Schizosaccharomyces pombe: one gene and its partners. Changing the gene in region 1 together with any one later gene gives a genetic interaction. Each region holds a gene or a part of one and is shown on either strand. Other genes may lie near its edges. The genes, in order: jmj1, rdl1 and sec28.

Evidence for each region.
Region 2: mutations in jmj1 (region 1) and rdl1 together harm fitness more than expected from each alone (negative genetic interaction), as found in Schizosaccharomyces pombe (one large-scale study listed by BioGRID).
Region 3: mutations in jmj1 (region 1) and sec28 together harm fitness less than expected from each alone (positive genetic interaction), as found in Schizosaccharomyces pombe (one large-scale study listed by BioGRID).

What each region holds. Positions count from the first base shown.
Region 1 is NC_003424.3:2,523,909-2,527,667, reverse strand, and holds jmj1 (histone demethylase Jmj1), read right to left. Parts: upstream 1,865-3,759; 5' UTR 1,752-1,864; coding exon 357-1,751; 3' UTR 158-356; downstream 1-157. Other genes in the region: protein Ddr48, read left to right, coding at 3,062-3,759.
Region 2 is NC_003424.3:2,007,596-2,011,021, forward strand, and holds rdl1 (RAD51D-like protein 1), read right to left. Parts: upstream 1,553-3,426; 5' UTR 1,247-1,552; coding exon 554-1,246; 3' UTR 501-553; downstream 1-500. Other genes in the region: exosome RNA helicase subunit Mtl1, read left to right, coding at 1-335; RNA-binding protein involved in heterochromatin assembly Dri1, read right to left, coding at 2,310-3,426. UniProt on the Schizosaccharomyces pombe protein: Involved in homologous recombination where it functions at an early stage of recombination in a pre-recombinogenic complex with rlp1 and sws1. Also has a role at a later stage of recombination in association with the rhp55-rhp57 complex.
Region 3 is NC_003423.3:2,325,441-2,329,033, reverse strand, and holds sec28 (coatomer epsilon subunit protein), read right to left. Parts: upstream 1,561-3,593; 5' UTR 1,529-1,560; coding exon 1,498-1,528; exon of another isoform or gene 1,454-1,497; coding exon 618-1,453; 3' UTR 533-617; downstream 1-532. Other genes in the region: put2 (delta-1-pyrroline-5-carboxylate dehydrogenase), read right to left, coding at 2,132-3,593. UniProt on the Schizosaccharomyces pombe protein: The coatomer is a cytosolic protein complex that binds to dilysine motifs and reversibly associates with Golgi non-clathrin-coated vesicles, which further mediate biosynthetic protein transport from the ER, via the Golgi up to the trans Golgi network.

The DNA of each region.
Region 1 (3,759 bases):
GACCTGGCTCTAAAGAAAATCAACATTTTAACCTGAACTATCAATAGTGATTTTTTTAAATAATTTTTTTTAGTATATTAAAGTAAACACCAGTGTCTTAAGAGTTTTTACAGCATACATCAATTATAAATTTATAACTTAAGCAACATCTCTCGGATATTGTTTACTAAAGTAATTTTTTTAATTTTTATTTTACATATCTAAATCTATCTATATTACTGGTAAACTAATTATATGGATGGTATTTGTCTGGGGAAACCATTGCATGAGAATGATACAAAGACGTAAGCAAAATTGAAGAAAGCAGACGCAGAATGAAAAAAACATCATTTTAAAAGGAGTTTAGATGAGTAGTACTATTCTTTAAAATCACCGAGAGATTTAAAGATCGTGACAATCGATGAAGGAGGAGAACCAGAATCGAAGGTGCTGCCGGGCTCATCATTTAGTAAAATATTTTTTAAAATTGAATACTCCCATGATAATGGAGGAAGAAACTCAGGTTGTATGGGCCATTTTGAGAAGTATTCAGAACTATGTAATATTGCATCCCTTCGTTTGAGCTGATGTTTGATCATACCCCAAAATCGACGCCAACACCAACCGTAGTTTGCTTCCACCACTTCTGTAACAACCTGAGAAAATCTGTCCTTTGTTACGATTCCATCCTCCAGCAAATCCTTGAGAGACTCTGCGGAAACTTCATACTGCTCTTTTAATGCGGTGTACATTTGTAAAATGCAAGATGCATTACACCAATTATGGTTGATAGAGAGTGTAGTTCCAATATTTAAAACCTGATGATACCAACCACTTGGAACAAACACTGTTTGTCCAGGATATTGGAAGAGAATTTTTATCAAATGTCGATGATTTACAAGTGGACCTCTAAATAAATCATCTTTTGTGATCCATGAAGGTAATTGCTGGTCATCATAAAGGGAGGCAATCGTTTGAAGGTCTTTGGGATCGATAAAAAGCCAGCATTTCACACCGCAGAGATTAACAGAGAAGGAGTGGCTAGCATAGACATCGGTGTGTAGGCCAGTAGTCGTTAAATGACTACCTAAATATGCGAAACGGAAATCATCGGATTCACAATCAATCACGTATGCATTTAACCAGTCGTCGGCGAAAATGTCCGGAGTACTGTAAGGAAAATCGGCAGGGTCTAGATGTCGAAACAAGTGCATATCCTTGGCATATAAGGATTTCAAAGCCTGATTACTTGGAGCCTGCCGGCATTGTAGTTGGACCTGTTCATCGCGAAGTTCATGAAGTGCACTCTTCAAGGGAACTGTTTCACGACGTTGAGATCCATAACGATCTTTTTCATTGCAATAAGCCAATGGTACAGGAATCGTTCCGTAATTTTCTTCTAAGTATTCATAGTTTGGCGATAACAATAACGAATCCAAAAACACATTTTTATCCTCATTATTCACAATCCTTTCTGCATATGACCTAATGAAATTCTTTATATCATTGTCGTTTAGTAGTGAATTCCCACTAGTGTTGTCTCTAGAAGTACAAGGTTTGTCAGGTAGAATGTAACTATGCAGGATATTAGGATCACCCTTACTAGTTATCCACGTAGTATTTGCTTTCCATTGAGCAGTAAGCTTCGGTCCAATAAGTACGGGAACGCAAGGTTTTAGATACTGCTCAAGGAATACCTGGTATGGGCATGAATCTATGAACTCGATTTTCGGTAAGTCGTCAAACTCATGAGCAGTGGGACGATACACCATCGTGATGAACTTGATGATTCATTTAGTGGAGAAAGTGTATATGTAATTTACGTAACAAAATGTTGTTTTTTCGCTAGTAAAATGACCAGCGGGTGTAGCTATACGATGACGATGATAAATTGACTGAGGTTACGGAAGGATAAATGGATGATGGATCACGACATCACGAAGTTGGTGTTAAGTAAAAAAAAAAAAAAAAAAAAGAAGGGATAAGAAGAATGGAAAATGCTATTTACCGTCTGACCTCAATTTTCATATGAAAATAGCATCAGATAGTCAGATAAGGTGAGTACTCCTTACGCTACAGAGAGTGAGTATATTTATTGGAGTGTGTATTTGTTTGCCAAAAGTTTATGAAAACTACCAAATAATAAAATTAATTTATTTAACTGAATGCAAGAATAAAAATAAAAATAAAGCAGAAATCGGATATCTATCATTTAAACTCAGACATTCAGGAAACGAGCGAGATAATATGCCCGTACCAAGGTTTACAAGTTAAATAAGAATCACAGAGGTAAACATTAGATTATACACTGAATGTGAACGCAAAGATTTATCTATACTTTCGAGGAAGTAAGGATGATAATTATTATCTTTTTTTTTTTTTTTTTTTAAAAAGCCATACTACAAGTGTAGACATCATCAACTCGGTCCAAGTTTTACTGTTGCAAAATCTATTTTTATAAAATGAGAATTTATAGTAATATTGAAAATAAAAAAAAAAATAAAAACAAAGAATGGAAATAAAGCAAAAAAAAAAATTTCTAATGAAATAGAATGGAGATAAAAAAACCATTATTGAAGAAATTTCATAAAATTTTTTTTTCTACTGGTAACCCGTGTTTACATTCGCTAAACATACACTTTGTAAATGGAATCCCCAACAAGCTTCATACATAATTATGACAATAACTGACTTCGTCATTTCTCGCTACGCACTTCGAACTGTAACCAAGTTCACCACCAAAATGCTAGTGATGTATGACGCAGATGGTTAGTATTGGAAGATCTGTAAATAGTGATATCAGCAGGCTGAAATCGATCATGCCAATTTGTTAACAGAGGGAACTTAGAGATCAAAGTGAAGAAAGTTGTCGTACGTGGTTTAATTCAAGAGTGGCGATCAAATAAAGAAAACGCACATTGCATGATGAAGAAATTCGTCAGTGCTTTGCAACAGTTCATAAATGGAGAAAGGTTTTTTTATTTATAAATAGGGATATTCCTCCATCGATATTCGCAAAATAAATTCGAATCTTGAAAAGTAAATATTATTCTACTTACAATACTACAAATATTTTCATAAAATGTCTTACCAACAACGTGCAAACGATTCTATGAACTCTGCTAAGCAATACAGCTCAAGCGCTGGTGCTGTCCACAACAGTGATGAGCCCTTCTCTTCTAGTGGTGCCCCTCAAAATCGCAACTTTGACACCTCTTACACATCTGAAATTCCCAGCAATTCTAGTCGTGCTGCTAACGACATGGGAACAGACATTGGATCCGGGGATCCTTATGCTGGAATGACTAGCGACACTAAGAAGGGATTCAATAGTGTCGAGTCACGTAAGAAGGAACAATCAGATGTCCGTGGAGGTGATACCTCTTACTCGAGAAGACACGATGATTCTTCTTACTCTTCTAACAAGTACTCTACAGGAGGCAATGACAGTTATTCTTCCGGCGGACGCAACGAGGATTACTCTACCAGCGGAGGTAGTTACACCACCGACCCTAGTCGTACAGATGATACTGCATCTTACGGCCAAAGCCAATACAACCAAAGTCGTAAAACCACCCAAGGTGGTGACTACGGTGAAGATTACAGTCAAAGTTACCCCACTGATACCTATGGCAGTCGCCAAAAAGCAACTCCTTCTGACACAGTCGGTGGTGGTGCCTATGATTATTCAAGCTCTGGCTCCCATACCCATGGTGGTTCTCATGGTACTGAGCATCGTGGAGGCTCCTATGGCAACGACAATACTGCTAACAAGACCAG
Region 2 (3,426 bases), 520 kb from region 1:
ATCTAACGATTATTGAAGCAGCAAAGCGCATAGCAACCGTTTCGTTAGAAAGTAAGCTTCAATTTAACGAAAGCGACTACCTCCATCAGTTTAAGCCTGACATTATGGAGCCTGTATCTTTATGGATCAATGGAGCCTCGTTTCAAGAAATATGCATTGTCTCCAAGCTTTATGAAGGTTCAATTGTTCGAACGTTCAGGAGATTAGATGAGTTGTTAAAACAACTTGAACATGCTGCTATTGTATTAGGCAATAATGAATTGAAAGAGAAGAGTGTGTTGACTGAACAAAAGTTGCATCGTGATATCATATTTTCGGCCTCTCTATACCTCTAAATTTGTAGCGAAAGTTTGATATTGACAATGATCGTTTGGCCTATCAAATATGATTTCGATTTTGTGCAATATTCTTTTTATATATGTTAGTTTTAATTCTTTATTTAGAAGTGTTATCTACAGATTTTTATTGAATGTATAAAAAACAATATCATTAAATAAATCCTTAATAAGTCATCTACATATTTTTTAAACTTTGATATTTTGGGGTAGTATACTCATGATGGACTGTTGAGCGTAGATGAGTGATACAGACTTGGTGATACATGCAATTTAGATGAAACAGAGACAGGTGTACCATTGTAGAAATCAATAGTCAAATATTCGTGAGTAAACGAACCTTTAAGGAGTAAAAAAAGTTGTGAGCAACCTAGTAAATCTTTACGACTTTGGTTGCAATGTACTAAACATTTATTATGCTGTTGATCTTCTAGAATATATGAATGGTCAAGACAAAATGGCCAGCTGTTTCCCAGCGCTGGTTTGGAAAGGTGGAGTTGCTTTATGTACACAAGAGAAGTAGATAAGTATACTGCTAATCTGAATTTTCTGGTAAGGATTCGGCATTTTCTTCCTAAAGTCATCATGAATGCATGTGCAAAAGATATATTGCCCTGAGCCATTAACAAACCAATGGGATTAGAAAAGGAATCTATACACAATGCATATGCTTGATCTTCGGAGCTTTTGAGATTGCTTTCCAACTCATCAACTGCATCCTTCAATCCCTGAGCATCGAATGATCTAACCAACATAGTTTTTTCAAGACATGGAAGAGGGAGTGCAGCCGGATTGAAAGTACCTAAAGTATCAATCCACATAATTCTATCAAACCTAGAGTAATAACTTTTTAGAATCCAGTAAAGCATCAAGTTTGCAGAATTTCCACTAAATTGAGTAACCTGATTCATAATGTCAGAAAATATATAAGCTGCTTTAAGAATTTGCTTGGTATGCTTTAAACTTTCGATAGAATTGTTTTTTCCAACGATATTGATGATCAATGAAATTGATTTTTGCAATCATCCCCTGGTTATGCTAATGGCATTCTAAAAGAGATAAACACCCAAATGCGTTGAAGGAAAAGATACGTACAATCGTCAAAAATTTCCGGAATGTTCAACAAGTATTTAACTAATCATGAGTGTGTGTTGAATCTTATCTCATGTTTTTTGTTGAACTATCTACATGGATTATATTTAATTAGGGTATGGATTAAAGAAGCAGAAAGGTCGTCAACATTCGAGTACAGTATATAGCCACACTGGTGTGGATTTGTATATATTGAGAATAACCCTTTAAGAATAAAAAGAAAAAATAGAAAAGCATCAACTAACTGTTTTTAAATGCTACATATGCGAATTTAATTCTCTCTAATAATGCCATGTATTACAAGTAACCTCATGTATCGATTGATTTAATCATTATCGTTACAAAATTTTTATAAATTATATAATAAAAAAAAGGAATATTAACAATACATTATTTACCGAAGAACCCTATAAATTTGAACAGCACTGACAACTGTAAGAGGTAAACAACCATTTTTTCAAACGTTCAATGAGTGTGACACTCCAAAACAAATGAATCCCCAAATCCCAAATATGGGAGAGCTCTATACGATTGACTGCTGTTTTTTCCCCGAAAATTTCTTCAAGGTCAAAAATTAAATAGCACTAAATAGAAGAAAAAAACCCACCAAAGAAAATTATGAACTAATTTTGACCACACCTGTAATTCAATGTTTATGCAAAACCTTCATAAGAAAACCCAATACAACTTTTAAATTTTTGTTCCAATAGAGTTGCTTTTCAAAATGCTGCCTTTAAATAATAACAATTGTTTCATCAAATTTGCTCCTTCAAGACATAAGTGATTATTTTTATCGCACTAATCACTTGCATTTTTAGCTATAGTGTTTACCAAATATCCTTTGTACTACGGGACCTATCCATTAAATATAATTGTCCAACTTTACACGTAAGCATTGAAATCCGAAGGCAAGGATGCAGGAATCTGCATATTAGAGTAATGCGGAGCATTGCAACGGAGACAATTACTGCGGCGACGAAAATTAGTAAATCCACACTCACATAACCAATCGCCTTGATCAGTAGTAACGGAAGGACGTGATACTTCTTTAAAGCGTCCATGATCATCGAACCTAGATACATTACCACCATTTTGTCCCCCAAAATTTTGACCATGATTAGCCGTTACTGAATTTATAGAAAGTTGTGAGTAAGGATACACCGAATGATTAGGAGGACTTGTACTCATAACAGGGGGGATGTGAGAATATGAATTATGACTATACGAACCATTCACCGGCCCAGATGCATGATCTGCTACGACTGCAGCTGTAGCACGGCTAGCCCCACAGCGTAAGCAGCAAACATTTTTTGCGAAATTGTGATATCCACAACCCTCAGAGCCACATTTCCAATCACCAGCACGAAAAGGGACATTACCACCGAATGAGCGTGAAGAATGATGATGATTTACAGCATTATTGCCATTCTGATGCTGAAGATCACTTTGCATGGTATTTTCGTTAGAATGATGGACAGATCCACCATAGTTGGCAATAAAGTGAGAGGAGCCGTTGCCGTATGAATTTCCATAAGGGAAATCAGGTGAAAAAGTATTGCTACCAGTAGCAGCTGAAACATGAGTAGGACCAGGAAATGAGCATCGGAAACAAGACGTTCGACGTTGAAAATTGCTGAAACCGCACATTGGGCAATTCCAATCCCCAGGGCGTGGGCGATTCTTACTAGAAGGAAAAGGAATTAGAATGTCTGAAGCTTTATCTAAAACCTTTGTACTACTGGGAATAATTTCCAGCATCCGATCTCCTAAGCAATATCCATTAAAGGCAAGAGCATCGGCAGCATCTTCATGACTAGCAAATAGCACAAAACCTGTACCCGTAGATTTGTAAGGTTCGGGAGTCTTTAAAGTCCATAAAGCTACGGGATGAACCCCATGATTAGTAAACCAACTTTCCAACTCGAGCTGTGTTACATCGTTGGTCAAACCTGCAACGTGTACAATTTTTGACCGTTCTGCATAAAAGCTTCGTGCGTCT
Region 3 (3,593 bases), on another chromosome or scaffold:
ATAGTTGTAATCTGTCATGGTGCCACTGCCGTTTGAGCAAGTTCATCTTCGATTCTTAAAGTCTTATCGTTTAATATCGGTTTTCTTGCTTTTTCCAAATTCCAAACACCTGTGTATTTCAAAACATCTTTCTTTTCTATTTGTAAAGGCAAACTTGTTGCTTGTCATTTTGTGGCACTGCAGGTTTTGAGTAATTTTGGACAAGAACCACCTATTCTAGATTTTTAAAAACAAATATATAGGTGGATAGTCATAATAGTTCATTTTTAATTAATGAATGTATTTGATAAATAAAAGTAAACGGTTTAAAGACGCTCCTGTTGTGACGGCGTTCATTTAAATGTTTCATTTCGAGATATATTCGGGTGCGTTTTCTTGTTATTATGTCTACATGAGTCTTCTTCTGCATGCGGTTAAGTATTTCTAATTAATTAGTTTAATACCTTTACTTCTGGTAAACTTGAAATTTATCGAGGCAATACTGGATTGACTTGCTTTGCCAGACAGATCAACGAGCCATTACTTGAGTGAAGCAATAGTCAATGAATAAATACTAAAAATGCAAACATTTGAAGTTTATTAATGGATTGAAGATTCTAAACAATATTATTATTGGATTAAGCCGTACTCAAAAATTGAGTTGAAAAAGTATCAAATTCTTGCGCCTTTTCATTTAAATGATCGTTCAACTTCAGTGTAGAAGAATTTGTAAAAGATGAAAGTATATTCTTGGCTTGAGAAGGAGCATCAGGGCCTAAATCCGTGATTGCAGTAGTCATATTTGATAGTGCCTCCTCGTAATTTGGTTGAGAATCGAGGGCAGTTTTCAGCGAGCTCAAAGCCTCTTCAGGTCTCAACAAGCATATGTCTGCACACGCCATACCAGTTAAAGTCATTGGATTGCTATCAGTTCCGTTTAACTCTTCAAAAACATAAAATGCATCATTATAGGATTCGACGCCTCCACTAACTATTTTAATCCAAGATTGTGCCAGCTGTAGTACAATTTCTTCATCAGCCCAATCCAAAGCCTGTTTCAATGTCTGTTCAGCAGCTTCAATTTTGTGCTCTCGTAAATGAATGTATACTTGAAGCGCCACCGCCTCCAAGTTCTCTACTGACTTCTTTAATAAATCCATTGCATCATCAAAAGAACCATTTTTAATTTGAAAAATAGCTCCTAATGTTTGTACCACACTGTCTGAATTGCCATGCTGGTCAATAATTAACTCCATGTTCCCCTCCCCAGCCAGCGCCAGAATAGCAGCTGATCCAGGCGTTTTTTGAGTTAAAATACTTTGGATTGATTCTAAACTTTCACCTAAAGCTAATTTTGCCCTTGCCATATAAATTTCGGTCAATTCAAGACCTTTTTCAGACATGGATGTCGTGTCAATTTCAAATAACTTTGTATAGTTTCCACTATAAAAGTATTGACGAACAAAATACAGTTCTATCAAATATTAGTTGTTATTTAATTCCCAACTCATCTCTTACCATTAGATAAACTAGCCTCCCATGAAAACATGTTAAAAGTTTTAATTATGTTGGGCGATGTGTGGAGTAGAGAGTATGTGGGTTAATGGTGTTTGTACATGAGTAACCCTACAACAAAATGTAAAGCAAACGAACTTTCCATCAAGACTTGTAATTTTTCTAATTGCTCCGAAGCCTAATATAATATATTTCGCAGTCAGCAAGTAAAATGTTCGATAATTGAGATCCTTTTTCTACAGGTCGTTGTTGTATTCAAGAATCACCAGCAAACTACATTTTGGTCCACTGGCTTTTATATACAATGCAACAAATCTAGTGTTATAAATCAATACATGTTAACAAAGCGAACATTATAATTTATTAGAATAACAAATGGCGAGCTTTAAAAAAAAAGAAAAAAAAAAATTGTAAAACCTAGACTACCTTTGAAAGTTTGAGTTTAACTCAAGGTAACTAATCAATATATATATATATATATACTTCCTTTATTCCTCACATATTGTACTAAACCCAAAAAAAAAAAGGTTGTGGTCTTTTTTATGGCAGTATCAAAGTACAGAGTAAAACACTCTACAACTCCAATGTCTATCTAAATTCTAAAAATTAAATCCAAATCAAAAAGGCCAAAACAAACTTAAAAGTTGGAAGGGTATAAAACAGAGTCTGCATAAGCAAACGTATCTTTGATGGAGCGAGGAGAAACGAATCGAGACAGAATCATTCCGCTACCAGCTTTATCGTTAGTACCACTGGCACGAGCACCACCAAAAGGTTGTTCACCAACAACAGCACCAGTACACTTATCATTGATATAGAAGTTACCAGCGGCATTACGGAGACGGTCAGTCAACTTTCTGACAACAACACGGTCCTGAGCGAAGATGGATCCGGTTAAACCATAAGGAGTGGTAGTATCGATGAGATCGCAAACAGCGTCTAAGTTGTCATCCTCATATACATAAACAGACAGTACGGGGCCGAACAATTCGTTAACGAATATATCATGTTTAGGGTTTTTAGAAAGTAAAACGGTAGGTTCAACAAAGAAACCTTCGGAATCATCAGCTTTACCGCCAGCCAAAACTTCAATTTCAGAATCGGAAGCAGCACTCTCAAGAACCTTCTTCAGTTTGTTAAAGCTTGCTTGATGGATAACAGGGCCCACAAAATTAGCAAAATCAGTTAAAGGAGCACCGACCTTAAGAGACTTGACCTGTTTGGTAAGCTCATCACGGAAACCATTTTCCCAAGCATACTTAGAAACGTAAAGACGAGAAAGGGCAGAGCACTTTTGGCCTTGATATTCGAAAGCAGCACGAACAGCATTAACAACGGCACTCTTAATTTCAGCGGAAGAATGTACAAGATGAAAGTTCTTACCACCAGTCTCACCGACGATTTTGGGGTAAGTGCGGTATTTTCCGTTGGCAACATTCTCGCCAATTGTTCCCCAAAGGCTACGAAAGACGGCTGTGCTACCAGTAAAATGAAGACCAGCAAACTCAGGGTGGTTGAAACAAACCTTGGAGACTTCAACAGCGTCACCAGGGATAAATTGAAGTGCTCCAGCGGGAAGACCAGCTTCACGGAAGATTTGGTAAACAATGTAGCTAGAAAGGACTGCATGGTCAGAAGGCTTCATTAAAACGACGTTGCCCATGAGAAGGGGGGCAGCAGCCAAGTTACCAGCAATAGCTGTAAAGTTGAAAGGAGTAATGGCATAAACGAAACCTTCCAAAGGACGATATTCCATACGGTTCCAGACACCAGGAGTGTTTTCGGGAGGTTGGCTGGCATATAATTCACTAGCATACTTGGTATTGAAGCGAAGGAAGTCAATGATCTCCATTCCAGCGTCAATTTCAGCTTGCCAGATGTTCTTACCCTGGCCAATCATTGTAGCAGCCATGAGCTTGTAACGGTACTTGGTGCTTATCAAATGAGCAGCCTTCAAGAAAATGGCAGAACGGTCAGCAAAAGGTAAGGATTCCCAGACCTTCTTTCCACGAAGTGCTGCCTCAATGGCATCTTCAACGTGCTTGGCACCAGCACGGTGATAGCGAGCAACGACCTTTTTGTGCTCAAAAGGACAACGC